Linked DNA regions of Astyanax mexicanus. The protein of the gene in region 3 purifies or fractionates together with the protein of the main gene of each other region. This does not show direct contact. Links are inferred from orthologs where the notes say so. Each region holds a gene or a part of one and is shown on either strand. Other genes may lie near its edges.

Region 1 (7,287 bases), on a different chromosome or scaffold from region 3:
TTATATGGAACTTGGCCTTCAGTTTGGAGATGGTACTGAGGCTTACTCCAAATAATGTTGCAACTTGTTTTTTTCAGAACACCAGCCTAAAGTTGCCTTATCCAGACCAGTCAAATGTGGCATGACACCTACTGACCAGTGTAGCGGGGACCATTTTCACAGGTGCTGCACCTGGAGGTACCAGAAGCTAAAAAGTGTCAATAGCAACAGCAGAGTAAACTGTTTGGCTATGGCAGAGAATATTTGGCTAATTTTATATGGGTACAACCCACATATTCAACTCTGCTGCACACAAGATGTTTTGTGGTGGATTAGAGCTGGAGTCCTTAACACCACTGGCAGAGAGGAGTACCCAGTCCTATCCACAGACAGACTTCGAAAGTCTTTTGTTGCTCAGGCCATAAGACTGTCCAATAAAGTAATAGATACTTCAATAAAGTATCTATCTATATATCTCTTTACATATCTAATCCCACAAATGCATGTTCCTTACAAATGTGGCTTACTTTAAAAGGGAAATGAACAGGCTTTACAACAATATTAGATTTCTCACCAAGAAACACTGTTACAACAGAGAAATTATCTACCAAACAAATATCCTTACCTTTAGTGCTGTGTTTATAAGGTATAAATCATGGAGTAATAGTGTAGGCAGAGCACATGGTATGTTTGTTGTCTCAGTAAATTAAAAATAAAACGTGCAGACTTAAGTGAACAGCACTAACTTACAAACCCTTTACACAAACGTTCTTCGTATTGTAGTTAATGTTATAATTGTTCATTAGTTATAAGTTATAAGTGTTCATTAGAAAGGTCTGTAGGTCTAGGGAGCTTACAAGATAGAAACTTACCACTACAGCCAAAACCATCAAACAACAATGTATACAGCTCTGGAAAAAAAAATACGAGACCACTTATAAATGATAAATGATGAGTTTCTATGATTTTACCAAATTAAACCTCTGGAATATAATCAAGAGGTAGCTGGATGACAAAAAATCATAAAACCAAGCTGAAATGCTTGAATTTTTGCACCAGGAGTGGCATAAACTTATCCAAAAGCAGTGTGTAAAACTGGTGAAGGAGAAAATGCCTGAACATGCATGAAAACTGTGATTAAAAAACAGGGTTGTTACACTAAAAATTGATAATATCTAACGATTAAAACGTTATGAATATGAACATGTTTTCTTTGCATTATTTGAGGTCTGAAAGCTCTGCATCCTTTTTGTTATTTCAGCCACTTCTCATTTTCTGCAAACCAATTCTCTCCAAGACAATATTTAATTTGGAATTTGGGAGAAATGTTGTTTGTAGTTAATAGAATAAAACAACAATGTTAATTTTACTCAAACATATACCTATAAATAGCTAAATCAGAGAAACTGATTGAAAAACTGGTCTCATATTTTTTTTCCAGAGCTGTATATCAAGATAATAAAATACAGTTTTACTATAAATTAAGATCTTACATTCAGCAAAAACATATTATAATATTCCATATGACAGAATTATGGGATGTGAACTGTGGGTTAAACATTCTGTGGGGTAAACAACTGCAGTACGCCTAGCTTATGCATCAATAGGTTTCCCTGCACCTTCAGCTAGCTGACTATAATAATATTTAAGCTGTGTGCTGAAAAGTAAACACAAATATTTAGCTTAAAAAACTTTAAACGATTAAATTACACACACAGATATGTATAACCAGTGTAGCTTCTATATGCAGCCAAAAATAAGGTTATATGCGGCGAACTATCAGCATAAAGAAGGCGTTGTCGAAAACAGCACGGTAGGACCCTAAGCTAGCTATGCTATGCTAGCTAGCTAACTACACACTGCAGAGCACTGGAGCTTATAATAATAATAAACACAGGATAATTTAGCTAATACAGCAAATTCACCTCTTTTCACAAACTTACACACAACCGCCACTGAAGACGCCGGCTGGATATCCGTCTGCGCACTTACAGCAACTTTATCTGCAGTTTTCCAGCGCAGCCGGCGCGCCAAATCGCAGACAGTGCTATGCTAAGCTAGGCTAGGCTAAGCTAAGCTAACGTTACTACAGATGCACGCCTACTGCAGTCCGACGCGCGCAGATGACATCACTGCGGTTAAAGCCAGGCTAAGCTAAGCTAGAGATTAGTGCAGTGAAACAAAAGCCAGGATATCTTATATTTAATACACGAACTTATAACAGAACTCAATAGAATATATATTAGAGTTTACAGACTTTCACACCCCCATCATTCCAACCTTTATATCTCAGTTTTGAATCCGCAATCCCTTAGTAAACACACTCTAAACGCGTACCAGCCTGCTGCACAGACAGCCGGGTGTTCTGTCGAGTTACGCTACCCATCGATACGTGCTTCCTAAATGCACTGCGCATGCGCTGACCGACTATTTAATTTTTTTGTTGTTGTTGTCGTTGATAATAAATCTGTTATTTGTGTATTAAATAGCTCGGACTGACTCATTGCACAAAGTATAAATGTAAATGTTTAATAATAATAATAATAATAATAATAATAATAATAATAATAACAAATACAATTATTATTATTAAAAATGTAAATACAAAATCAAAATGTAATTAATAACCTCCCATTGCCGTATCTTTACCATGATACAGTGATTCATGCTATCCAAATATACTAGCTACATCTACTGGGACTTCCACTCCTTTTGTATTTTTACAGGTAAATACGCTAGGGTAGCACGATTTGACAAAGTAGCACAACTCGACAGAACACCGTTACTACAGTCATGTCCTTCCCACCAACACAACTAGCAGTATTTAACCTCCACCAGTATCCCAAAGCCAGCGCACATCTCGGCTTCAGCCACTCACACACACCTGCGTATCATATAAACACAAAATCCCCCCAAATAAAGCGAATAAAACGCAATACGCGCATTAAAGACTTACAGCAGATGGAAAAAGAGGGAAGGAGTTCTAGCTCTGCTTCAGCTCGCACCGACTCAAACCCGGCGGAGGGATCTAAGCAACACCGCGCCAAGCTATGATAATCTGTTTACTAATTATAATCATATATTTCTTGCATTTAAAAACAACAAGCATGATATGTGATATAGCTATGTTAACTTCTTACTAATAAACACATTATGTAGGATCTAATTGTGCGCTCTTCTATTGTTTTGTCGTTTTTTACAGTACAGCGGTATAGTCCTGCGCGGAAGGACACTGCAAATTTGGTAGTAGTCAGAAGACCATCGAAAACGAAGGTCTTTCTTTTCTTTCGTTTTCCCATGTATTAAGAGCTTACAAATTATGTTTTTAAGCTATTTTAATGTTTCCATTTCATCCCTATTTTGATTTCTAAAAATGCAAAACCTGACTTTTAACACTTAGACCGCTATTCCTTTAAAAAGGTAACTAAACATTTTGCAGTATAAAGAGAATTTTAATTTACGCACGCAATTAATTCTGTTTTAAATACTGGACTCTACTTATTCATTTTTTTTAAATACACCACACAGCTATAATGAGCAGCTTCTATCATATTTGTTATATTATGCTTCTTTATATGGGGCTTTATATAGTAGTCAACATTCTGCATTTAGGCTGGCTGGTTGGGGTTGTAAGTACAATAAACGGCCATTTGAGGTCGCTGCGTTGTTGGGCGTCAATGTGAAGAAATTATAGGGGGAATGGCAAAATGACAAATATAAATAAATAAATGCACAAATAAATAAATTAATACCTTTATGTATTTATTTATAAATGAATAAAAAAATAAATGCAGAAAGCTGCTTTGTGAGCACATCAGTTATAAAATGTGCTATACAAATAAATTTGATTTGATGATTTGATGTAAAACGCCTCTGGATATGAACTAGTGATGGGTGATTTTCACAATTAATTCGGTTAATTCGAATTACAGTTTTATTGCGGTTTTACATACTGTGACGGGCGGGGGGAGCAGTGGGTCCGTCCCACGCCATGACGCGCAGTCCCTGCCGGTCCCAGCTGATCTGAATCAGGACTGATTGAGCAGCAGCTGGAACTCCGGCATAAAGACTCGGATTCAGTCCCCACTCTGAGAGGTGCTACAGGTGAGAGGAAGGCTGCGGCAGGATAGACCCTTAAAAGACTGGCAATCACAAGTTCAGCGAGTAGAGCCCCTCTGGGCCAGTGTAGTTATGTTTTGAGTTGTTTTGGGTGTTAGTGGAGGGCATTTGTAGTGATGGGCAGATGAAGCCTCATTGGGTGTATGGCACATTTCCCAAACTGTATCGACACTGTGTTGAAACTGTGTTGCTGTATCACTTAATGGCGACATCTGCTGGACTAAGAAAGTCATTGCAAGCAACTGCGCGAAGAAATGCATCGGTCACGTGGTTTTCCTTAAAATGATACGCGGTCTGACACAGGGGTTCGCCTTGTTTGCTCGGTGCATGCGCTGAAGTTTCAGTGTCGTCAGACCCATCGCTACCAAACGATACAGGAAGTGTATCGGTCACGTGGTTTTCCTTAACTTGATACGCGCACCGACACGGGGTTTCGCCTTGACAGCTCGGCGCATGTGTCGAGGTTTCAGGGTCGTCAGACCCATCACTAGGCATTTGAACCTAAATAAAGGTACGTTTTGAGTTCATTCACTCCCTGTGTCCGTGTATCTGTGGGTTTTCTGACTGCCCTGTCACGGTGGCCACGCCCCTATCCCTAGGGATGCCGTCACAATACAGGCACTTTATCTGTTTACTCTAAAGTTTCTAAAGTGTTTATCCTTCTTAATTTGGCTACCACTGCCTCCCACAGACTAATGCCGGTCTTACACCTAACTATTTTTAAACGTTTTCACAGTCGCAGACAAATTTCCAAAGTCGGGAAAAAATCTGGAGAGTCTGGCTAGAGAAAAGTTGCGGTCGAGTTGCGGTGGCGTCATCTCTATCCTAAGGTGGTTGGAAGTTTAATCAGTCGGGTTCGCCTGATTAATCAACCGTGTTTAATATTATCGCAAGTCTTGGGACTTGGCTCACGCAAATAGTGACGTGAACAATGTCAACGACCAATAGAAGAGCTATGGGGAAAGGCAAGAATATATTTCACGTGACTGTTTTGAAACTATTTACATATACAGTATTTTAAACACAGGCAGCACTTTAAAGTCATTATTTTTAAAGTTTTTATTTTGCACTACTTTGTCTTATTGTGCAGTTTTTTTTAAATACAAAAGTTTAATGTTTTTCAAGAATTAACTTCTTTAATTGCATTAGTTGTATCTAAGGCAAATGTATAGCAGTGAAACTGTGTAATTCATTGCTATACAAGGTTGTAGCAAAAAGGGGATAATCAAGTTTATAGACAGAGTTGAACACAATGTATTCTATTAAATATCAAGAACTAACAGTGAGGAAGAAAAAATAAACTGTTGATGGGCACAAAAGTTGTGAGTCTCTGATGAATGTGTGTTCAATCACTCGCAGGTGCTAAACCGTGATTAATGGTGGAGAGAAATAAAATGTCTCATTCAAAGTGTCTTCTATAGTTGTTCAGTGTATTTTTCAATTTTCAGTCACACACCCTCCTTCGTGTGTGATAAGCTGTGTACTCAAGGTCAGCGTGTGATATGACTGCGTGAGCTTAAACTGCTTTAAATAATTGATTTACTCAATGAGTAGACTCACCCTAAAGCTTCTAAACACATAAAATATATATATATATATTTTTTTTCTGTTTCACATGAAGATATGACACTTTAATACAATGTAAAGTAGTCAGTGTACAGCAAGTAACACTGTATATTTGCTGTGCTCACAAAATAACTCAAAACACAGCCATTAATATCTAAACTGCTGCCAACCAAAGTGAGTATATACAAGTGAAAAGGGCCAAATTGTGCCCAAAGTGTCTATTTTGTGTGGCCACCATTATTTTCCAGCACTGCCTTAACTCCCTTGGGCAGGGAATTCATCAGAGCTGCGCAGGCTGCTACTGCAATCCTTTTCCACTGGGTTCTATTAATGTACCACCTAAATTTGTGTTAGTCTCTGTCTGTAGAAAAGTTCAACATTCAGTTATATCGCACTCCAGAAGATGTATACATGAACAACACAAGAAACTAATATTATTGATGAATAATCATCATTTAATAAGTTATGGGAAGGAAGAATATGCCAATGATATGATTTTCCTCTGCACAAGCCTACATCTCTGCTTAATGATGGCGGACAAGCCATTTGCCACCTTTGCCATCTGTCTGAGCACAATCACAGTAACCCTGCTGGAGCACAATAAATGATCCAGATGGTGAAAAGGTTGCATTATCATTTCAATGGCCTCACTGTTCAGCTGTGGAAACATTAAAGCAGAGATGACATCCTGTCCCTCCAGCGAATGAAACTTCAAATACTTTAGTATGACAGATTCATATCCAGCAGCGGGAGTGCAGATGAAATGTGGGCGGTTTGAGGCTACTTGCGGTCTCTTGTTGACCACTGGCCCTCATCTTTGACTCCTTGTTTAGCAGAGTAAAACGAGAATGCCACCGGAAATTGGATTTGTGCCTCAACGACCGCTTGGAAATGAAAATGCTGATGTATTTTTCAGAAAAAACAGGCTCTATGACCCACATCTTGGGTTTTAGATACACTATGCGCAAATGTGTGCATTCTAATGAATGCATTATTCAGCTACTTATTTAAAGCTACACCAATTGAGTACAAATTCACACACTTTCTCTAATTTCTGTAGAATAGTATTGGCAATGGAATAGAAATCTCTGGAAAAGATAAACATGAACCTATTACCATAAATCCTAATGCCAGGTGTGCGCTGAAAAGGTAGCAAATGATGTGGGGTTGCTGCACTTGGTCAGGTCTACGTTCAGTAACAGTATGTGCTGAACAAATGAGGTCAGCTGACTACCTGAATATAGCATTATAGAGCATTATTTTTTGCATGAACCATTTAATACCCTTGACTTCAGAAGAAGCAATTCAACATTTAGTCAAGACATGAGAAAAAAAAAAGAGACAATCATTAATAGTGAATATTTTTATTTAAAGAAATGAAAAATGTAGGATTGTATGCATTTTATGAGGCAGGTAAAAATAACACTGGCATCTCCAATCATGCTGCAATATAAACACAATTAGTACATTTCAGCACAAACTAGATAAATACCCGGGAACCACCAAAAAAAGAATGAGAGTGCATTTCCCCAAGAAAATGTATGTATAAATTGCAGCTCAATGGCAGTTGTGTCTGTGTTGCTTGCTAGGGTGTTGCCAGTTTGTTACTAGGTTAACGTTTGC
Region 2 (7,463 bases), on a different chromosome or scaffold from region 3:
TCCTCCACCAAGTCTGAGTAGATGTCATGAGCCAAGGCCTGAAACATGATGGCCAGAGATATGAAGATATACTGGTTTTATCTTATGCTAAAATGTCAAAAAGGAAGCATATAGCAAAAAAAAAACAAAAACAACAACGATACCTCTAGCTTGGTGTTATCCAGGCCTGACAGTGACATACCCTCCATTTTCATTTGCAAAAGCTATTGTAGTGGGGTCGCCATAGTTGCTTTGGTACAGCAGGTGGGCAGCCACACTGTCAGAAAAACAGATCAATAAAATATTTAAACAAAAAAAAAATCAAGTTTACATTTAAATACATTACATGTAAATACAGTTATAACTTATTGAAGTCTTTGTGATTTAATTACTATTCCTACGAAGACTGTCATAATGCCACATCTATTTAGCTCACATATAAATGAAAAAATGAAAGAATTTCACTGTATAAGGAAACGTTTCCTTCATGTGCAAATGACAAAAAAACTCTTTTGAACTATAAAAAACAACCACACAGAATTCAAATTGTCATATCTGGTAGTCTTATAAGGATAATTACACAGTAATAATGTGCGTGGTATTTAGCGTTTGCATGTGTGCTTTCTTTTACCAGATACTATTTGACTGAGAGTGGTGGCATTTAAAGCTTTTTTTTCTTGTCTTATCTAGTCCATATTTCAACACTTTAAATGTTTACCAATGCATATTTAGTGTGTTATTACAAAGTGCTATCTAAAGGGTAACTAAACCATCTGATTTTATCTGACTCCACCCTCAGCCCAAATTTGAAAAATGCTAAAAAATGGGAGGAGCGCTGGGTGATGTATGGGTTTAGGGGCTGGGCAGGAGGGCGAGCTGATTGGGCTGAGCAGTGACCAAAATACCAAAATAAAAGCATTTTTTTAAAGGTTAGGAAAGGTTTAAAAAAATAAGCAGAACTGGCATGTTTCACTACTTTAAATGCATACATTTAATCTATTAATGAAAATAACTTAGTTTAGGGTTTAGTGCCTCTTTAGTACCTGCAGCAGCCTTTTAGATCAGTGAGTTTTCTCCAGGCAGGTCCAGCAGCTCTTACAGATGAGGAAACTTCTGAAGTAGCTTATCTAACTAAAGTAGCTTAGCTAACTAAACTATATGTGTTATAAGTTAAATCATAGTTAGAACCCTTGACTTACCACCTGCAACAGAATAGAGGAAATGAGGAAAACATGCAGCTTTGGAAAAAATTGAGACCACTTCAGTTTCTGAATAAGATTTTGCTATTTATAGGTATATGCTTCAGTAAAACAAACATTGTTATATTCTATAAACTACGAACAACATCCCCCATCTCCGCAATTCCAAATAAAAATAACAAAAAAGATGCAGAACTTTCAGACCTCAAATAATGCAAAGAAAACAAGTTCATATTCATAAAAATTTCAGTTCAGAAATCAAAATTCGGTGGAATAACCCTGGTTTTTAATCAGTTTTCATGCATCTTGGCATCATGTTCTCCTCCACCAGTCTTACACACTGCTTTTGGATAACTTTATGCAACTCCTGGAGCAAGAATTCAAGCAGTTCAGCTTGCCTTTGTGGCTTGTGATCATCCAGCTTCCTCTTGATTATATTCCAGAGGTTTTCAATTTGGTAAAATCAAAGAAACTTGTCATTTTTAAGTAGTCTTTTATTTTTTCCAGAGCTGTAACGTTATCTGTTTATATCTGTGTGGTGCAACATCTGTGTTTTGAGCTGGAAAACAGCCAGCTTGTTCACTGAACTAATAAAATTATAATTCAGTTGTTATGAGTACACTTAAAGTTTATTAGCTAGTAAAATATTTACTATTTAAGTTAAGTATTAAACGATTTAATATTATAGTTAGCTGGGCTAACCTTGCTAACCTAAGTTACCCAAGCTGTCAACAGGAAACAGAGGTGTAGAGACTGAAGGAGAGAAGCCTATTAGCTCTAGCTGATTAATAGTGGATTAACAGTGGCTGGATTTATGTATGTCGCGTATATGAAAATAAAAATAGCTCTATATATTCAGAATGCTGCAGTTTTGTATAGTTTTGTTTAGGATAGAAAGTTAACTAGCTTAGCAAGTTAGCTAGATAGCTAACATCTAGCTAGCTAACCTAGCTTTACAGTAGCTAGGTAACGTAGCTAACGTTGCTGTACCACTACAGCATGTTTTCTTAGCTTAGCCGGTGTTCTGTCGAGTTGTGCTACTCATCGATACGTGCTTCCTAACGGCACTGCGCATGCGCTGACCTACACTTTTTAATTATTTCTCGTGTTTTTTTTTTAATAAATATTTTTTGAGGCATTAAACAACCACTATACCCACTGTCATTGCATAAAAACTGCAAATGGAAATACAAAAATATATAACAATAATAAATACACTAGTTATTACTTAAAAAGTACAAAAGCAGTTTTTAATGGCCTCTCATTGACATAACTTTATCGTGATACAGTAATTTATGATATCCATATATACTACATAGACTTCTACGATGAACATGCTTTAATATTGTGCTTCTTTTGTATTTTTACAGTTAAATAAACACTAGGGAAGCACGGTTTGACAAGATAGCAGCCTTCGACACAACACCGGGAATAAACACCTATAGACACCTATAAAGCAGCTCACACACAGCGGGGAACAAGGTGCACACACACAGCCAGAGCCCACCTCCTTCCCAACACACTCACCTCACACACACATAAACACACACACACACACGCTATTCGGTTCCCCCGCAGAGAGAGGGACGGGGGAATCGCGCACCTACCCCGCAGCCCCGCGGGCCACAGTCCTCCCGGGCGGTTCACGAGCAGCCGCCGCCGCTCCCCCGGAGCAAGTGGGCGGAATAAACCAACAGACACACGGCCTTTTCTACGCTGCTGAGACGCGAGAAAAATTAACGCTCCGCTGAAAAATCCGCTGGATATTTACACTGTAGAAATATGGGAAAATAAAACGCAGCCATTTTGCCGCCCGCCAGGCGTCACTAGTCCGCTACCGATCAGCAGCGCATCGATCGGTCTGAGTGGAAACACTCCGTCCTGAGGCTGGAGGAAAACAGCACCTCCGATTAGCCACAGGCTAGAAAGTTGCTAGAGATATTTTTTGTGGTGTTTTTAAAGTGTTTTCACTCTTACACCATAAATGTAATCATCCAGAAAATACACGTTTGATGTACAAAGTTTATTTCTTTACTCTTAAGATAATGTGAGGCTGCCAGGGTAACTTTTTAGCCAGAAGGCTAGCTAGCATTAGCATTACAAACTAGCTAACTAACCTAGCCTAGCTAGCAAACTGGCATTAACCTTTCTATAACTTTCTGTAAAAAAAAATGGAAATTTTACAGCAAGTTGATGCCAATAAATATTAAGACCCATTTCATAATTATGAGATGCAAAGTCGTAAATATGACATACTAAATCATTATTATGAGATGTCATTATTATGAGATAGTAAGTCAATTTTAAGATAGTAAGTCATTATTATGAAATTGTAAATCATAATTATGAGATAAGTCATTATGAGAAACTAAGTCAGTTATAAAATGGTTAGTCATTATTATGAGATACTAAGTCAATTATAAGATGGTCAGTAAAAATTATGATATAGTAAGTCATTATGAGATGGTAAGTCGTACTCATAAGATGCCACGTAAATACTAAATCCTAATCATGAGATGGTAAGTCATTATTATTACATACTGTCATATTTATAAGATACTAAGTCATAATTACAAGATGGCATGTCATTACAAGATACTAAGTCATATTTATAAGATGGTAAGCCATTTTTATAAGATACTAAGTCATAATGATAAGAAGGCAAGTCATTATTATTATTAGATACTAAGTCATAATTATAAGATGGTAAGTCATTATTATAAATCATAATTATAAGATGGCAAGTCATTATGAGATACCAAGTCATATTTATAAGATGGTAAGTCATTATTATAAGATACTAAGTCATAATGATAAGAAGGCAAGTCATTACTATAGGACACTAAGTCATAATTAAAAGATGGTAAGTCATTATTGAGATACTACGTAATTTATAAGATGGCAAGTCATGACGGGATTCTAATTCATAATTATAAAATGGTAAGTCATTATGATGAGATACTAAGGTCATTATGAGTTGGTAAATCATAACGAGATACTTTATAGTTTTGAAATGGTAAGTCATAATTATGAGATAATACCCCCTGACTTACTATTTCATACTTATCATGCATCTCATAATTATGACCTGGGAGGACCCTTATTTTTCCCCAAGCTCAAAATATTTTTGAACTACTTTTTTAAAGTTTTTGCTTCAGATGCAGAGCATTTTATAAAAATTAACACATTTGTTTTGTGCAGACCATTTTAAGAGAGCAGGAAATAAAACCATCAAACAATTGCTAAAGACAGGTTTATTTGATCAAATGGTAAATTCCAGGAATAACACCTCCGACTATAGAAAACATCCAAATGTTCCAAATTATCAGCAGTACAAATTATTATTTTTTGCCATTTCTACAAATAAACAAACAGCTGAGGGGTATAAAAACTAAAACATACCAAATTAAAATCTTTCCCTCAGAGCAATTGACAAATTCAGACCACTGGCCACTACAAGAACCACGTAGGGGACAGCTTGGCCAAATGAAAATACAATGTTCACTCAATACAAAAAAAAAAAAAAAAAATTAAGTATAATAACAATAGAAGAATAGGAAAAACGATGTATTTACAAATACCTTACAACAGCAGTGAACCAAATCCATCCCCTCTGATCTCATTGTTTCTATTCCTATCATCAAATCTACAAATGGACTGTGTATGTCCCATTCCCTTGTTCCTCACCACCATCATATCATTATAATCATTAATAACCACTATAACCATTATGCTCTTCCAGATCTGCCAAATCCATTCAGCTTTATACATGAGACAGACCTTACCCTCTTCCTCATTTTCAAGGGCACTGATAAAAGATCTGTGTCCTTTGGGTGTTGGGGGTAAATAACATAGCAAGTAACAGACACCACCAGTGATTCAAGAGGTGGAAAAGCACATAGCTTAAACTCCAGCAAAATCTTTATACAATGTCTAGGGGAAATAAAACAGAAAAAACAAAAACGACAGCCTCGGAAAAGGGGAGGGAAAAAAAACAGCAACCCAAAACTTATTATATATATACACGCACACACAACAAAGGATTTTCTCCTGTATTAAATACAACATTCCTTTACATTCCTTGAGCTGGTGCTCAGTAGAACAGCAACGGTCATATCAGTGGTTGAACGATGTGAAAAGGGGGGAGATGGGGGAAGCACACATGAAGAGCGAGGGATGAGGAATGAGAAAAAGAGGGAGAAAAGAAACATGGAGGGGGCAGATGGCTGGTGAGGCTGTCTGAGATAAGTGCACAGCGTTGTGGGCCATATTCATATTACAATTGAATATTTAAAAGAAACCAGTCAAAAAACTCTTAACAGACGATTAAAACAAACCAAACATTTAAGATAAACCAGTCTAAACTTTTAGCAGACATGTAAAACAAACCAAACATTGTTTTTTTTTTCTTTAAAAAAAGAAAAGTCCTGCTAAGCAGCTTCAAATAAAAAACTGGAAAAATAAAAACAGCTCGGATGGACACCAACATCAGTTCTAAATATAACTAACGAGAAGTTAGCAGCAGGGTTGTCGGTAGGAACTCCTCTCAAAGCTGGACATATCTGGGCCAAAGGAAACATTTTAGGACATAATCTCTTTCATTAAGCTTTATGGTTTTAATTACAAAAAACTCCAAGTAAGTTTTCTTAAATTTTTCTTTTTGAAAAATATTAAAACTCCATCTCCTCAAACTGAAGAATCCAGGTCTTCCACAAACAAAACATCCCACCAAACATAGCTGTTGGTGGCTTATGTACATGTCATGAACAAGTTAGGCTTGTGTAGATTAACACAAACCAAATGGGACAGACATTCAAATTCAAAAATCGCACCATTGTTCCTGAAGATACCACATTATGAACCCAAGACCTATAGAAGCAGAAGTGCACCACCGTCGGAAATGAGAAAGCAGGAGGAAGAAAATATACAAAGGTTTGTAAAGGCAGGATGATTGTGACTAGGATGGCTAGAAGGAGATGGGGAAAAACAGGGCAGACATTTTTTTTAAGAGTGCAAGTATTTGGTCCCCTTTACCTCCCGAAAGAAATCCAGATTCTTTGGCTTGTGGGTCTGTTACTCCCCTACAAAAAGACTGGAAACAGAACGGATATAATCCCTATTCTACATCATTCTACATTAATGGCTTCAGACACTAAATGTGATGATTAGGGACTGCTTTATGGAACCACCAGCATCTTTTTTTTAAAGCACCTGCATAAAAAAAAATACTTTCCCCTCATTCATTCTGTTTCCTTCTTAAACTTAAACAAGCTCATTGATACAGTAAATAAAGAAAGAAAAGAAAGAACAGCGAAAGAAGATTGAAAGACATGGTAGCTGAAAGAGGTTGTGGACGTGGTGGTTGTGGTGGTGGTGGTGGTGACAGTGGAGGGAGCTCCTTCTGGTGGCTGGAGGGAGTGCAGTGCAGGCCCATGGCTCTGACTAATGGCTCAGTTCACAGGCTCTCTGGCAGTCTGCGGGCTCACGCTCTGCTCAGTCACCCTCTCAGTCTGAGTCCGAATCTGATGAACCATCTGAGCTAGACCCACTGCTGCTGCTCTCCGATTTGTTTTCTTTATCCTCTGCCTCTTCATCATCTTCCTCATCCTCGTCATCGTTCTGGGAAACCAAAGAATGTGGAGGTTAAATTTAAAAATCACAGCTGAGTGATACAATGTAGGGTTACCATCCATGTTTGAAATGTCTTCTTAAAAATGTACTAATGAACAGGTATGGGCACTTTATTATAGTTTTAAATAACTAATATAATGCAATTCGGCTAATATACTCTAATAAGTATACTTTAAAATTAAGTCGGCATAAATTTTCAATAAAATGCAATCAATTAAATTTTTTAAATCAATTTAAAAGGTAAAACATATACATAAGAATTTCTAGCTGTTTTAGAGCATTTCTGTAGGCATGTGCTATGTCAGCACCATTAGCTAGCACTAGTGTTGTTCCAAGCTCTGAGTTTCTTCCTGCCATTTGAAAACTACTACATCTCATCACAACCCAAACTCCTCCCAGTGCAGAAAATCACTGGCTTATTTCCAAAGTTTTCAAAAGTATTCACTTTCATTACTCAGGTAGAAATACTTTTGAGATGTTTGTAGAAGCTTTTTACTTAAGTAAAAGTACTGGTTTCAAAACTACTTAAAGTATAAAAGTAAAAGTAATACAAAGGGAAACAATGGCATTACAGACAAAAACTTAGGCCACACCACAGAGTCCTATAGTGCACTTATCCTCCCTCCCCAAAACACATTTTACCAAAAGCCATAA
Region 3 (7,996 bases):
GTGTGTAAGACTGGTGGAGGAGAACATGATGCCAAGATGCATGAAGAAAACTGTGATTAAAAACGAGGGTTATTCCAACAAAAATTGATTTCTGAACTCTAAAAACTTTATGAATATGAACTTGTTTTCTTTGCATTATTTGAGGTCTGAACTTTGCATCTATTTTTCTGTAAATAAATGCTCTAAATGACAATATTTTTATTTGGAATTTGGGAGAAATGTTGTCTGTAGTTTCTAGAATAAAATAACAATGTTCATTTTACTCAAACATAAACCTATAAATAGCAAAATCAGAGAAACTGATTCAGAAACTGAAGCGGTTTCTTATCTTTTTCCAGAGCTGTATATAAAAATCTATATATAGAAAAACAGAAGAGAACATAAAAACTAAAAGATTGTAGGAAACATATGTATTGTGTGTGTTATGGTATTGGTATTGGCCAGTGATATTGCACGTTACCACAAATTACCTTTTACCCTGCAGCTAAACAATCACAACCCAGATTTGCTTTATTATAGTGGGTTACAATTCTAATCTATGAGCGATGCTGTGTTCTCTACAACTACTTGCATTAACTAAAAGCAATAATGTGGTCTGCACCATTTATAACACTTGTTATCAGTTTACCCAGTTTCTGTCCTTTTCACAAACCAGTTGTTTTCCAGCAAAGATATAAACTGCACAGGGCCAGATTAATAACGTTAGCTAAACTAACATATTTTAATCTGTAAATTCGAATTTACTAGCTACATGTTCCTTGAGTAGTACCGCTGCTGTACACATATGACTAAAATTGCTGTGGTACATTTATGATTAAAATAGCACTGCCAAAAGTAGCTAGCAAGCTAAATGTATGACAAAAAAAGCAGTGATGAAATAAGTTCACGATTGGAATACTGCTAGCACTGGTAAGCTAAGTGTCTTTGGATTTTTGTTGGCATGTTGTTTGGATATTAAAAACTTAGTGCTTAAGAAATATATATGTATATATATATATATATATATATATATATATATTTTTTTTTTTTTTTTTTTTTTTTTTTTGTAGTTTCGTTACGGCCTTTTCTTTGAAAAGCTATTTAATGTAGAATGTAAAAGTGGCATGTTGATGTAGATGTAGATTTTCTAAAGGAGAATTTTGTCACCTTAAACAGGGAGAAGTAAACTTGTTTAGTGTCGGCATCTTCTTCCTTGTGGACGCAGGTGTACAGGTATTCCACATCCAGCACTATACCCAGTAACCTGTTCATCTCATCTTCTGATACGTTCTCCAGATGCGTCACATGATCTCCTGCCCAGTGAAAGAGGAGAAGTTCAGAGAGCGATCCACTCCTCTCAGAAAATACCAATCATTTTCACACACACACACACAGGGTTACCTAAGGGATGACTGCAGCTCCTGCAGGGCTCCAGTAGATTAACAGCGATTGGCTGCTCTGCCCTGGGAGGGGTTGGGGGGGGCGGAGTTGGAGGTGGGTTCTGACTCTTCCAGCCATTACACTTACAGGCTCCCTCAGCCTGCGGAATACAAAAAAAAAATAAAATATATATATATATATAAAAAAAAAAAAAAATATATATATATATATATATATATATATATATATATATATATATATATATATATTATAAAATGACAATTCCAAATATTACATAATACAATAAAGTATTAGATATACATAGAATTAACTTATTTTATTTCATTTGTATTTTATTTGTACTTAATATTGTTCTTATCGAGTAAATACAGTTGTAAATATCAAGTGTAAAAGTTACAACCGACACTTCAGTAACAGCAATTAATTTATTCTTTTAGTTTTTAGTTTTAAAAATATATTTTGGCCTTAAACACATTTTAGAGGTACAAGTAGGACATTATTAGGAAAAACTTACTATAATGTTATGCAAATGTTTCTGTTTAAATTGCCAATGTCTATCCTCTACAGTATTTTAATTTACACTTATTTCATTGATCTCTTCAGTAATAAAAATAGTTCATTAATTTAATGAATTGAATGACCTTATCTGCAGATTCTTGAAACTGCTCACAATTCAAGACTTTTTACTAAAAAATATGATGGTCAAAAAAGTGCATTTATTTCTTTTTCTAATTGTTTGTGTTGCAACCACTTTAACAATTCAAATGCTTTATTCCATAAAACGAGTTCTGACAAACAACAAAAAATAATAAAACTCAAGTTATTGAATAGCATTAAACATTTAGCTGTTAAAGTTAAAGAAAAAAAACCCAAACAAAACACAGAGCAGCGCGCGCACCCCTTCAGTCGTAAGCCCCGCCCCCCGGGTTCAGCTGTCATCCTGTCAAAACAAAGACGGCGCTCGAGCCTCCCCGCGATCATATTCACTGTGGATCGCGTTTCATAACAAACTTCGGTCTCGAGCTTCCCGTGCACGAATGCACGCACACACACCCATGCATGTGCACAGTCACGAGCTCTAACCCGTGCACTAAATATATATACATGCATGCATATACATGCGAGCGGGACGCCGTGTGCGCGACCTGCTGCTGCTCGCGCGCTGCGCTCAGCACATTTCGGAGTGCGCAAAAGAGAGTGCACGACAAAAATAACAAGAGCACCGCTAGCGCTCGAGCTCCCCGTCCGTACCTTGCACGAGGAGTACACCGCGAGTTTCTCCAGCTTCTTCGCGCGCGGGGAGGAGCGCAGCTGCGCCTTCTTCAGCGCGATCCGCGCGGACCCCACCGCCGCCCCGGAACCCTCAGCTCCCGCGACCCCCGGAGCCGCCGGAGCCGAGCCAGCAGCGCCCACGGCCGGGGAGCCCTGGGCGACGGCCCCGCTCTCCGCCATCCCGCGCTCCGGGGCCCCCGCCCGCGGTCGGTGGGGACGGAGGGAGAGGAGCGGGAGGGGGGCACGGGGTTCCTCCGAGCGGGGTTACCGCGGGCTGCTCGCGGGCTTTCTCCGTCGACGCGGCGCGGCGCGTTCTTTAGCTCCGCGCGACGGAATCAGACATGGCGTTCATCCCTGTTTTTCATTTGACATTGCAGTGCCGCCGCGCGGCCGCTGGAGGCGCCAGAGAGCGCGCGCACTCCACTACTATCCGCGCGCGAGGACAGTAAACAAACACACACACACTCCCTCTCTCTCTAACTCTCTCATATTCTCTTCATCTCTCTCTCTCTCATTTTCTCTCATATGAAGTTTATAGGATTTACAGAAAGTGTGCAATAATTCTTTAAACTAAATTAGGCAGGTGCATAAATTTGAGCACCACAACAGAAAAATTACATCAGTATTTATTGGATCCTCCTTTTACAGAAAAAATAACAGCCTCTTAACCTTTTGCTATAGCTTCCAATGAGAGTCTGGCTTCTGGTTAAAGGTATTTTGGATCGTTCTTCTTTACAAAACGTCTCCAGTTCAGTCAGGTTTGATTCAGGTTTCTGAGCAGTGTTTAGTGTTTAGTGTTTAGGGTCGTTGTCTTGTTGAAGTATCCAGCCCCAGTGCTTCAAACTTCAACTTTCTCACTGATTCTTGAACATTGTTCTCAAGAATCTGCTGATATTGACTGGAATCCATGCAAACCTCAACTTTAACAAGATTCCTAGTACCTGCACTGGTCACACAGCCCCACAGCATGATGGACCTGGCACAAATGTTACTGTGGGGAGCAGTAAAGTGTTTGTGTTGGAATTATGTGCTCTTTTTTTGCCATGCATAAATAACAGCCCTCCAAATAACTCAATTTTAGTTTCATCACACACAGCACCTTATTCCAAAATGAAGCTGGCTTGTCAAAATGTGCTTTAGCTTTAGCATACCTCAAGCGACTCTGTTTGTGGCGCAGAAAAGGCTTCTTCTGCATTTCTCTCCCATACAGCCTCTCCTTGTGTAAAGTGAGCTTAATAGTAAATAGTGAACGGTGACTCCATCTGCAGTAAGCTGATGTTGTAGGTGTTTGGAGCTGTTCTGGAGGTCTGTGGCTTGACTATGACTGTTCTCACCATCCTTCTCCTCAGATTATCTGAGATTTTTCTTGTTCTGCCACTTTAGGTCTTAACTAGAACTGTACCTGTGGTTCTTCCATTTCCTCACTCTGTTCCTCACAGTGGAAACTGCAGCTGAAATCTCTGAGATTTGAGCTTTTTATATCCTTCCTCTAAACCATGATGTTAAACAATTTTAATTTTCAGGTAATTTGAGAGTTTTATTTAAGGCTCCCATATTGTCGCTCTTTAGAGAAGATGCACAGAGAAGAAAAACTTGCAGTTGGCTCCTTAACCTATTCTCATAATTGGATTCACCTGTGTGAATGTAGGTCAAAGGTAAATTAGCTTACCAAACAATTTTTTGTGTTCCAATAATTAGTGCTAAAGTTATTCAAATGGATAAAACGACAAGGTGCCCAAATTTATGCACCTGCCTAATTTAGCTCAAAGAATTATTGTACACTTTCTGTAAATCCTATAAACTTCATTTCACTTCTCAAATATCACTGTTTTCATCTGATATATGATATTTTTAACTGAAATTGCTGATCCCAACAATCAATGATTTATAAAGAAAAATGCAGCTCCACCATATTATATAGTTATATAGTGCTGTAGCAGCGTTCCGACCACAGTGTTGCATTAAATTCTTAACAATGTTATTCAAATTCATATTAATATATATTAAGATATATTTGCAAATGTATTTAAAACAAAAACTTCAATTTCATATGGACATGAGCACTCAGACTCGCTAAGGGTTTTACTCTGAAATGCACCGTCAGCTGTAAGAACTTTTATATAAACCGGGGTGTGTCTTCCCAAATCATGTCCAATCAACTGCATTCAACACAGGTGAATTCCAGATAAGGTGTAGAAACAGCTCATCAAACATAATCAAGAGAAATGGGAGCCACCAACATACATTTTTAAGTGACACAGCAAAGAGTCCATGAGAATTTTTAGATTTTCCTTTATATATAATATTTTTTCACGTTTTTAATTTCTGCAGAATGATAAAATATAATATATATACAGCTTTGGAAAAAAAGGAAGAGAGCACTTCAGTTTCTGAATCAGTTTCTCTGATTTTGCTATTTATAGGTTTAAGTGAAATTAACATTGCTGTTTTATACTATAAACTTCAGACAACATTTCTCCCAAATTCCAAATAAAAATATTCTCATTTAGAGCATTTATTTACAGAAAATAGCTGAAGTAACAAAAAAGATCTTCTTTCAGACCTTAAATAATGCAAAAAAAAAAAAAACAAGTTCATATTCATAAAGTTTTAAGTGATCAGAAATCATTTTTAATCACAGTTTTCATGCATCTTGGCATGTTCTCCTCCACCAGTCTTACACACTGCTTTTGGATAACTTTATGCTGCTTTACTCCTGGTGCAAAAATGTAAGCAGTTCAGTTTGGTGGTTTGATGGCTTGTGATCATCCATCTTCCTCTTGATCATATTCCAGAGGTTTTCAATTTGGTGAAATCAAAGAAACTCATCATTTTTACGTGGTCTCTTATTTATTCCCAAGCTGCATAATATGTATATATATTAGGACAATTACTAGGCCGCAACATAAAATGTAAAAGAGAGTTTAAATAGTTTAAGTTTTTTCATTTTCACTTTCTCATTATGGGTTATGAAATGTAGGAAAATGGGGGAAATATATATATATATATATATATATATATATATATATATATATATATATATATATATATATATATATTTTTTTTTTTATATTTTACTACACATGCCAAAAAAAGGTAAAAGATTTAAAGGATCACCTTCAGAGTCATACTGATGTTTCACTGGCTGCAGTTTCTTTTTTTAACATGACAAAACTTGAAAAAAAGTTAAAAGGGTGTGAAGACTTTTTGAATGCACTGTAGTATAATGTTGCTTTAAATGAGGGCATAAATATAGACAGATACAATATTCTCAGTCAGAACAAACAACAAAAGACAACCAGAATTTGATATTTGTTTCTCTTATTTTGTTTTTGTTAATAACACTACATACATTTATAAGACCACCATTGATTATAATTTAACCATTTTGTGAAAAAAAAAAAGAAACATAAGTCCAAACCCCTATCAAAGCAGTTTCTGGTTACTGTACAATTGTTTTTTTTAATGATTATCTAGACAACTCCCTATCAAGCATTAGTTCTGCAACAGTAAATGGAAAAGTAGACTACATTGCAACACCCTATTTACAGTAAATTATTTATATATATATTTATATCACACTGGCTGTATTTAGAGCAGATCAATTCATGAACAAAATTAGTGCAAGGCATGGAGTAAGAAACACCTGGGTGTGTTAAAACTAAAGAGAGAGAGAGAGAGAGAGAGAGAGAAAGAAAGAGAGAAACAAAGAGAGAGAGAGATAGATTAGCATCAGGCTTGTGTTTGAGGAAGGGAGGATGGAAGAATAAAGGACGATTTATCAGGTGTGTGGAGAAGTGTGTACCCAGTCAAAGTGTGTGAAGGGTTTTAATACAGGACTGCAGTGTTACAGAGTCGAGCCCTGTAAATCCTCGAACATGCTGACCGACACGCTCAGACTGTGCCAAAATAACTGTGCTGATAAACCAGTAAAGCCTTAACACGACTGGCCAGAGAACTGCTTGTATATATGTTTGTGCTCACATATATAGGTGCATCTCAAAAAATGTTGAGTATCATTGAAAAGTTACTTTATTTCAGTAATTCAGATCAAAATGTGAAACTCATATATTATATAGATGTGTTACACACAGAGTGTTCTATTTTAAGTGTTTATTTCTTATTTCAGTTGGTGCTTTTGGCAATGTAGGCAGTGTGCCAAGTCCTGCTGGAAAAGGAAATCTGCATCTCCAAAAAAAAAGTTGTCAGTAGCAGAGGGAAGCATGAAGTGCTGTACGATTTTGTGGGAAAACAAAACTGCACTGACTTTAGACTTGATAATAAAACACAGTGGATCAACACCAGCAGATGACAGACATGACTCTCCAAACCATCACTGATCATCAGTAAATTTTACATTTAATTTGTAAATCAAGGGAGCAGAGTCTGGAGGAAGAGTGGAGAGACACACAGTCTACTTTATGCTACCCCCTGCTCTGGATTTCATTTTTCAGCAGGACACTGCCAAAAGTACCACTTGGTCTTGTAGTATATCCAAATTTTCTGAGACACTGATTTTTGGGTTTTCATTGGCTGTAAGCTTCATAATCATCAACAATACAAGAAATAAACTCCTAAAATAGATCACTCTGTGTTTAATACATCTATATAATATATAAGTTTCACATTTTGAACTGAATTACTGAAATAAAGTCACTTTTCAATGATACTCTAATATTTTGTGATGCACTAGTATATATCGGCCAAGCATAACATTATGACCACCCCCTTGTTTCTACACCTACTGTCTGCAGAAGTGCTGCTGGAGGTTTTAAACACTGTGTCCACTCACTGTCCTTCACTCTATTATGGAGTGAAGACACTCTAAATCTGTTGCTGCACATGACTCCGCCCACAGGATGCTGGTGGAGGACTGTTCTCAGTGGGGTCGGTAAGAGCTACAGAGTGTCCTACAGGACCAGTGTAGCTGAGAAACTGGTGAGGATGTAGAAACAAGGAGTGGTCATAATTGGTTGGTTTATTGGTGTGTGTGTGTGTGTGTGTGTGTGTGTGTGTGTGTGTGTAATGCCATGAATCCAATAGCACTGTCCTTTGTTTTGCAATACTGAATCGATTTCTGTTTAAACTCCACCCAATCAATTTTGTACCCAATGTTGATAGATTTCACCGATCTGGTTGGATAAAAAGCACTTTTCCTAAGTACACAGATTTTATAAGTATGATAATGTGCTTTTTCAGGTTAAGACAGTTTTCCAAAAATTAGAATTAAACAATAGCAATATATTGAATCATAATAAAGTATTGTGACAGCGGATTCATATTAAAGGAGAACTCAGGAGTAAAATTAACTTGATTTAAATGTCAGGGCTCTCTGGATTCTACC
Region 4 (7,249 bases), on a different chromosome or scaffold from region 3:
CAACTTCCAACTGGCCTTGCACCAATCATTAGACACACACTGTACATGAAATGTATTTCATCCACAAGGTCCCCATCATTTACAAGTGTACACTGAGTACAATATACAATAAGAATACTCTAAAAAAATAACTTTTACTGAAAAGCCTTGAGCAAATGCTTTAAACCTTAAGTGGTGCATACGTTTTGGAAATCGGGGATTTAGAGACCTTTCTGGTGAGAATGTGTAATTGTGCAAAAGAGTACTTTTAAAACTTGTTTTAGCATGATCCCCCTTTTTACAGTTGCTTAGCTAACCAGCAATATATGCTGAATCATCTTTCAAAGGCTGTGCATTTGACCTGAGTACATCAACAGCAAGTGACAAGGCCAGACACTGTTGCGAAAAACTCCTGCCTAAACTTTCCAGATCACTCTGTTTTTAAAATGAATATATTAAAGATTATAAAGTTGCAGTGATGGCTGTGCCAGCACACTAATTCAATTTATTAAAATATTTTGTCCCCCTCCCTCACTCTGCTTCTACTAAAATACTACTGCTTCTGCTTTCAATTAAAAAAGAAGAAAAAAGGAATGCCACTTTAGACTGCCAATATCTGTTGCTGGTCCAACATCACTCAAGTACATCACATCAGTTTCCTGGCTCTTCCTCATATCACACATTGGTGCTTATGTGATTCACTTGTTGTTAAAGCTCACCTTCCGCGAAAATCCGATTTTTCTTGTTTTTTGTGGAATACAGTAGGTCTCTCCGAGTTGAATGTGTACACCTGCACATTAAACTGTTTTGCAGCCCCCATTGTCTGCAGGAGCTAAGCAAAGAAATCCCCCCTCCCCCCCCTCCGAAAAACGGGTGAATTTTGAATTATCTTTCTGCCTACGTAGGCAGAAACTCACAGACCAGCCCACCTTGGCTCGAGAAACTCCCAGAGGCGGAGCTGAAGCGACGCAACATCACCGCTCATCAGTTAGGAGGTGGGAGGCAGTGAGCGGCAGAGCGGTGGAGGGGCGTCGCAGTGCTCCTAGCCAATCAGAGGAGAGATATTTGCATGCTGTTTGCATGTATGAGTATTCATGAGCAAAGCTGGAATCCGGTCATTTTGGACACACCCCTAAAACAGTCCATTAAAAAAGAGCTATACAGAGACACCTGAGCACTTTTTTTTTTTTTACAAAAACGGCTCACATGTCATTCATTCATGCTAGAGACCACAACTAGACATTTTAAAATGAAAGAAAAAACGACGGAAGGTGACCTTTAAGGAGCACTCGTTAACAACAAATAGACAGTCTACACAAGCTTCCTTATTTCAGAAAAACTCCAGTCCTGGAGGGCCGGTATCCAGCTAAGTCTGGCAGTTGCCCTACCCAAACACACCTACTTTGCCTGGTAATGAAATGATGATTTGAATCAGGTGTGTTTGGGTTGGGCAACTAAGCCTTGCTGGAGACTGGCCCTCCAACACTGGAGCTGCACCCCCATCCTGTACAACAACCATTGTTTCTTTTTCAAACTGTCAGAAATCCTCTAACACACAGTTGTGGAATCCGGCTCTTATTCGTAGCCAGGACCTTGTGTTTGGCGCTCACAGTCAGTCTACACAGCTGTTTTATGGTAGTTAATATTCTACAGCCTAATGTTTTCCTTGCTATACCCATAAGAAGTGGACTTACTGGCTGACCAACCAACAGGGTACAAAAACTGTAAACACTGCAATTTGCAAAAATATATATGTACACTTCTGTTGCCTTATAATTTGTCTTTACAGTTGGTTTGTGTGGTTAATACTGTAATAGCAATGTTGTAAAACATATTTTGTGAACATTAAAAAGCTAAAATGCCTCTTAATAGTTAAATGAACCTTGGCTGTTAAGCCTCAATATAGTGTATATGTCCAGTAGTACTGTTATGGGAACTAATTAACAATGGTTAAAAAAATTATATTTTACATCAGTACTATATTGTATAAAACAAGTAAAATACTTCATATTTATGGAAAAAACTAAACCTCTATAATAGTAGTACTCTTCTCTTTTTCTCCATCTGTCTGTCTGTCCGTATCTATTTCTTCCTCTGTCTGTCTCCATCTGTTTTCCACAGAGCGAGGAACAGGAAGCAAAATATCTACTTTACCACAACTATATAATTCAGTCTTTCCAGCTTTAGTTAGAGTGTGACATCACCCAAAAGGAAAGCTTTCCAGACAGTCTCACTTTCTGTACTGTATATAACATCATCACAGTGTAACAGTGACAACCTTTCAGTAGAATAATTTTGCTAATTTTTCTAAATCATATTCCAAAAGTATTGGACATGACCTATTTTAGGACATAGACCTTGTAACATTCAAGGCTTCTTTTAACTGAGTGTGAATATTGATTTTGTGTCTGCCATGATGTTTGCCGAAAAACATCTTATTAAGACATGATGGATTACTGACAACAATATATTTATTTAATTGTGGGTTACATGCTCCTACAATATTATTTATTTCCTGTATTTTGTTGATTTTTGTTTATTGAGACATTCATTGCCCGTAATTAAACTTTATTCACAATGAAAACAAAAATGATTTCAAATTCTATACAAAATAATATTATAGGGGTGGATGGATTTGCCCAAACAGGATGCTGTTAAGGGTTCACAAACACTGGAATTGGCTCTGGAAATATTGAAAAAACAAGGTGAATACAGTGAAAGCACTGAAACATTAGGTTAACATTAGTTAAGACATTGGCATACAATGATATATATGTGTAATACAATTAACAATATAATCCTGAGTTAAAATGTAATGTGTTGCAGTCATTGACAGTCATTGTTTGGCATCATTATGTCAACCGTTTTTGTGACCTGTCTTTCCTATAAACTGATTTCCGCATTTGGTTGTGGATCTAAACATAAATATGAGTAATTTTACACTACTCACTAAATGAAAGATACTGATGTAGTGTGGTGTAATGGCCTGACCACAGAGTCAAACCAGGCTCTACCACAATAAAGCTAATGTTGTCACCCACACGACAACACCAACCACTAATATACCCAGCTTATATTTGCATAATGCAGTGTATATATACTATATGTTGAAATTTAGGCTGCACTTAGGCTGCATTTTAGGCTACATTTAGGCAGCACCCACTGCTGACACAGATGTTCAAATGCACACACAGTAGTATGGTAGTTCCTATAGAGAACCACTAAAATAGGATTCTCTTGAGCAGATAAAGATGAACTAATTGGCTTAATATGATGTACATGTCCAGTAGTACTCAATATATTGTATAACTAAAGTAAAATACTTAAGTTTTATGAAACATAGACTTACAAATAGACTTATAAAGACCTCCCCGGACAGTGAAGTCAGTAGAGACAGTGCCAACAAAAGCTTGAACTTATTAATACGTAATATTAATACATAATAATTGATATAATGTATCTAAAATGTATACAGTTTAGAATTGTATTAAATGACTGTAACTATACTGTAACCAGCTAACTAATTATATAAAAGAGAGTGAGATTCCATATAAACCAGTGGTGACATATAAGCAGTCATAATGAGCCAGCTGAATTCAATGAGCTGAATTATCTCCAGTGAAGGAAAAAAAACATTTAAGAATGCTGTTTTCTGTCTGAAATGCACAGAAAAGACTCTAATATTATACTATAACATCTATATAGCAAACAAATCCAATTAACTAAAATATTTAATAGTTTATTTTTATTTCCGCTGCATTAGATGCCTGTGTGTAATATTTTATTTAGTAGTAGTATTTCATATTGACATTTCTCTTTCGTGAACCGTCCCTAAACAGTAAAAAAACATGAATAAAAATTGTACTTTTAAAAATTGCTTAAAAATTCAGTGCAATGGGCGAGGCCAATTTATTGTTTAATTGGTTGATAAACTTGTTCATTTGGGTTGTTCATGGTCAGCTATCAAACTGCGTAATGTGCAACAAAACATTTAAAAATAAAAAAAATACATGATGTCCATTGTAATGAGTGCAAGGTCTGAAAGGGTTAAATACAGGTATTAGATATGTCACCCTGGTTATTAACTGGGTAATATAATGTGGAATTAAGGTCTGTAGGTGTGATATAGGTATCAGTATCTCGTGTGTGTGTGTTTGGAGCTGCAGTGTGGGGGCTTGTTTTTCGATGACGTTTGTGCAGAGCCCGGTTCTGTCTCTGTGCCAGAGGAACATGTGATTGCGCGCTCCCGTAATCATGAACGAGCCCACATAGAGAGTAGTAGTAGCGGAGCCTCAGTGAGCAGCATTAGACTGTAGCACTTAACTCTCTTTGTGCCGGGGAGAACCCCACCGCAGGAATACACACAGATGTTCTGACCTTCAGGACCACGGAGGGGCGACCTCTTGAACTCGGCTGTACAAGAGACATAGCGGAGACGTGTTAGCGGGTGTTTTTGGCCGCGTTTAGCTCGGTTTGTTGGTGTTTTTCGGGGAGGACAGGTGGCCACGTCCTTCATCCTCTCTCTTTCTCGGGTCTGGAACTAGCGTTAGCCGCTAGCCGCTGTTTTGTTGCGCCGGCGCTTCGGGAAAAAAAAAAACCTTACACACTAGGAGGTTTCACCCAGGAATGGATACTGGAGTCGCCACTGAAAAGAAAAGGTACGGCGGACGGATTTTGTATGTGTGTTATTGTGCTGTTCTGACCTGCAGACAGAGGCTGTTCCTCCTTTTCACCTTTCTGCTGCTGCTGTTAGCTGTTAGCTTAGCGGAGGCTAGCAAACAACCGTCCTCCTAGCGGAGTCGCCATTTTGTGCTTGGGGGGCGTCTGAGGCAATTTGCTGACAAGTTTACAAACAAGCGAAAAACGCCAGCACCTCAGCACTCGGACCGTCTGTAGCTGTTGAAATCTCTCCAGCGGGGACATTTTGTGTCGGTTTTATTTTGAATATACGCCGAAAACACGGGCTGCGTCTGTATCTGCGTTGGCAGCACAGACAGCGGTTCAGCTAATGCTAACGCTAACCTAGCTTAGCTTAGTTTAGCTAATAAGAAGTTGCCTTGATTTGTGTTGCGCCGGCTGGAGCTGAGTGTGTGTGTGTGTAAAAGATAAGCGACCGGATGATTTATTTTTTGTGGCTTAAAATTTGTTAACTACAAACTGAAGGTGAATGAGAGAGAGAGAGGGGTCAGCTCTAATATATATATTTATTAGAAATGTTTAATAACGGTTGGAGTAAAGTGCGTCAGCGTGGCATGGACTGACTGCTGGTGCGGAGGAGGAGGATGAGGAGTGAGTGTGTTAAAAAAGCTGCTGTTAAATAGCTTCAGATGACTTAAAACTGCAGAGTTTCTGTGTTTTTGTAAAGAAGGGATTCTCAATTGATGTGATTTGGGATTTTTAACCCTTCGTTACGTTTATTATAGCTTATAGACGTGACCTATTTTCATTCAGACCCTCAGCTGGAAACAGGTTTGCCTTTATAAAACAGTATTTTCATAGTATTAAACCTTTTTATCAGATCAGATTCATCTGACGTATATGTGGTATTTTTTATTTTTAGGTATAACCTGCACACATGTAAAAAAAAAATCAACCTCTACTCCACACTAGCTAATTGTCTCTTTTGTCAGAACATAGTAACAATATACATTACCAAACACAATTTTGGCACCTCTCTTTTCATTTAGTGGATTTTTCTTTTTTTTATGATTTTTTTATAGTGTACATTTAATATTGAAGACTGTTAAAAAAAATACCTAGGCAGAAACACGTGAAATATTTTGGAAATAATCCAGAATATGTATTATGTTTTATATATATTGTAAGTGACCACATTTGTATTTGAGGACAGATCTGCACACTCTTGGTATTTTAATCTCTATTTTTACGAGGTAGGGTCACCTGGAATAGTTTTCTCAGGGTATTGGAGCAGTTCCTAGAGGTGCTGAACAATAGTTGCTGCTTTTCCTTCACTCTGTGAAGCTCCAGCTCATCCCAAATCACCATTTCAGTTAGGTTTAGGTCAGGGGCTTGTGCAGGACAATGTGTGCTACAATGTAGAAAATAAATTGATTGAAGGAATAAAGAAACATTGATTTAGAAGATGTGTCCAAGCTTTTGACTGGTACTGTATATATTAACTTATGTTTTCATTTATTAGGACTTTCACAAAATCAATATTTAGGTCAAATTTAGCTGTTAAAGGATGCTGTTTTGCTCCTCTTTTATCATCTCTTACTCACCACAGATGTTGACGTCAATGGGATTTCCTGCTTACTTCTGTGGCAAGACATTTGCAAGAACTGTGTCAGAAAAGAAAGGATGTGTGAGGCACACTTCACTATTTCATGTCTGTTTGGGTATGCCTTTTTGTGAGGGGTTAAAGGGGATTTAAAATTTACAATGTGGTTGTCACTTTGGGGTTCACATTTGTCTGGTTGAGATGGAGTGGTTGGTGTGGTTTAAATGAAATATCACTATAAAATTGATGAATTTATTATTTGGAATATATCTTATTTTGTTTTTAAGTTGGAATGGTCAGTGAAAGGAGTGAAAAGGAGAAAGTGAAAAGAAAGTCAGTGCTGCCCCATTTCAAGGGTATCTTCCAAAAACTATGAGTATGCATAAATCTTTGAAAGCACACAGGTGTATAATTAATAATTTAAATGGTCAGTGTCCTTGTATGATCCATTCTTTGTTTAAATAACCCATACCTTTTTAAATAATTGTTTTTGTGTACACAGTTGATTGTACTGGTACTATACCAGCATATTACTAGAATTATCATTGATCAAGTATATGTGGTTTTGTATTTGTTTTCAAACGGTGGTGCAGAATCAATCCCATGGTAATCCCTCCCATAATGTCCAGGCACAGGCCAATCTGTCGGTCCTAATTTCTGTTTCAAGGCTCTTCTTAACTACTGCCCTGGTGTTATGCAACACATGCCACACTAAATGTAGCTGGACTGTCTCTGTCCAAAGCAATACAAATTATTGCTGACCTCACGTGAAGGACAGCTTCTTATTCTTAAAAATAGACACAGCGGTTAGTCTGAAAAAATGTTTTTTTTTTCCAAATTGCCAAAAAACATCTGTCTTAGATTTTTGATATGAAAATGTCATGGCTTTTTAGAAATCATGCCATGCATTTTCTTTTACAAAAAACGTGGGTATTTGTATTTTATGTACTACACAATATAATAAAAACAGATGCTGTTATTGAAACTAATTTAACACATTTTAGATGTCAGGTTTTTTTTGGTGACTTT

What was found.
Region 1: the proteins of kat2b (region 3) and transformation/transcription domain-associated protein purify together in Homo sapiens (affinity purification with mass spectrometry; 5 studies listed by BioGRID and IntAct, with this or other methods). This does not show direct contact. The link is inferred for Astyanax mexicanus from reciprocal best matches to the Homo sapiens genes KAT2B and TRRAP.
Region 2: the proteins of kat2b (region 3) and atxn7l3a purify together in Homo sapiens (affinity purification with mass spectrometry; 5 studies listed by BioGRID and IntAct, counting the BioPlex papers as one, with this or other methods). This does not show direct contact. The link is inferred for Astyanax mexicanus from reciprocal best matches to the Homo sapiens genes KAT2B and ATXN7L3.
Region 4: the proteins of kat2b (region 3) and hif1ab purify together in Homo sapiens (affinity purification with western blotting; 4 studies listed by BioGRID and IntAct, with this or other methods). This does not show direct contact. The link is inferred for Astyanax mexicanus from reciprocal best matches to the Homo sapiens genes KAT2B and HIF1A.

What each region holds. Positions count from the first base shown.
Region 1 is NC_064422.1:24,991,791-24,999,077, forward strand, and holds the start of transformation/transcription domain-associated protein, read right to left. Parts: upstream 3,018-7,287; 5' UTR 2,936-3,017; intron 2,063-2,935; exon of another isoform or gene 1,923-2,062; intron 1-1,922. UniProt on the Homo sapiens protein: Adapter protein, which is found in various multiprotein chromatin complexes with histone acetyltransferase activity (HAT), which gives a specific tag for epigenetic transcription activation.
Region 2 is NC_064426.1:35,730,538-35,738,000, reverse strand, and holds the start of atxn7l3a (ataxin-7-like protein 3), read right to left. Parts: upstream 3,017-7,463; 5' UTR 2,786-3,016; exon of another isoform or gene 2,782-2,785; intron 1,182-2,781; 5' UTR 1,023-1,181; intron 257-1,022; 5' UTR 195-256; coding exon 144-194; intron 39-143; coding exon 1-38. Other genes in the region: ubtf (nucleolar transcription factor 1), read right to left, coding at 6,684-6,797. UniProt on the Homo sapiens protein: Component of the transcription regulatory histone acetylation (HAT) complex SAGA, a multiprotein complex that activates transcription by remodeling chromatin and mediating histone acetylation and deubiquitination.
Region 3 is NC_064410.1:61,521,301-61,529,296, forward strand, and holds the start of kat2b (histone acetyltransferase KAT2B), read right to left. Parts: upstream 3,023-7,996; 5' UTR 2,833-3,022; coding exon 2,632-2,832; intron 1,520-2,631; coding exon 1,381-1,519; intron 1,293-1,380; coding exon 1,147-1,292; intron 1-1,146. UniProt on the Homo sapiens protein: Functions as a histone acetyltransferase (HAT) to promote transcriptional activation. Has significant histone acetyltransferase activity with core histones (H3 and H4), and also with nucleosome core particles.
Region 4 is NC_064408.1:70,075,653-70,082,901, forward strand, and holds the start of hif1ab (hypoxia inducible factor 1 subunit alpha b), read left to right. Parts: upstream 1-4,232; 5' UTR 4,233-4,605; coding exon 4,606-4,637; intron 4,638-7,249.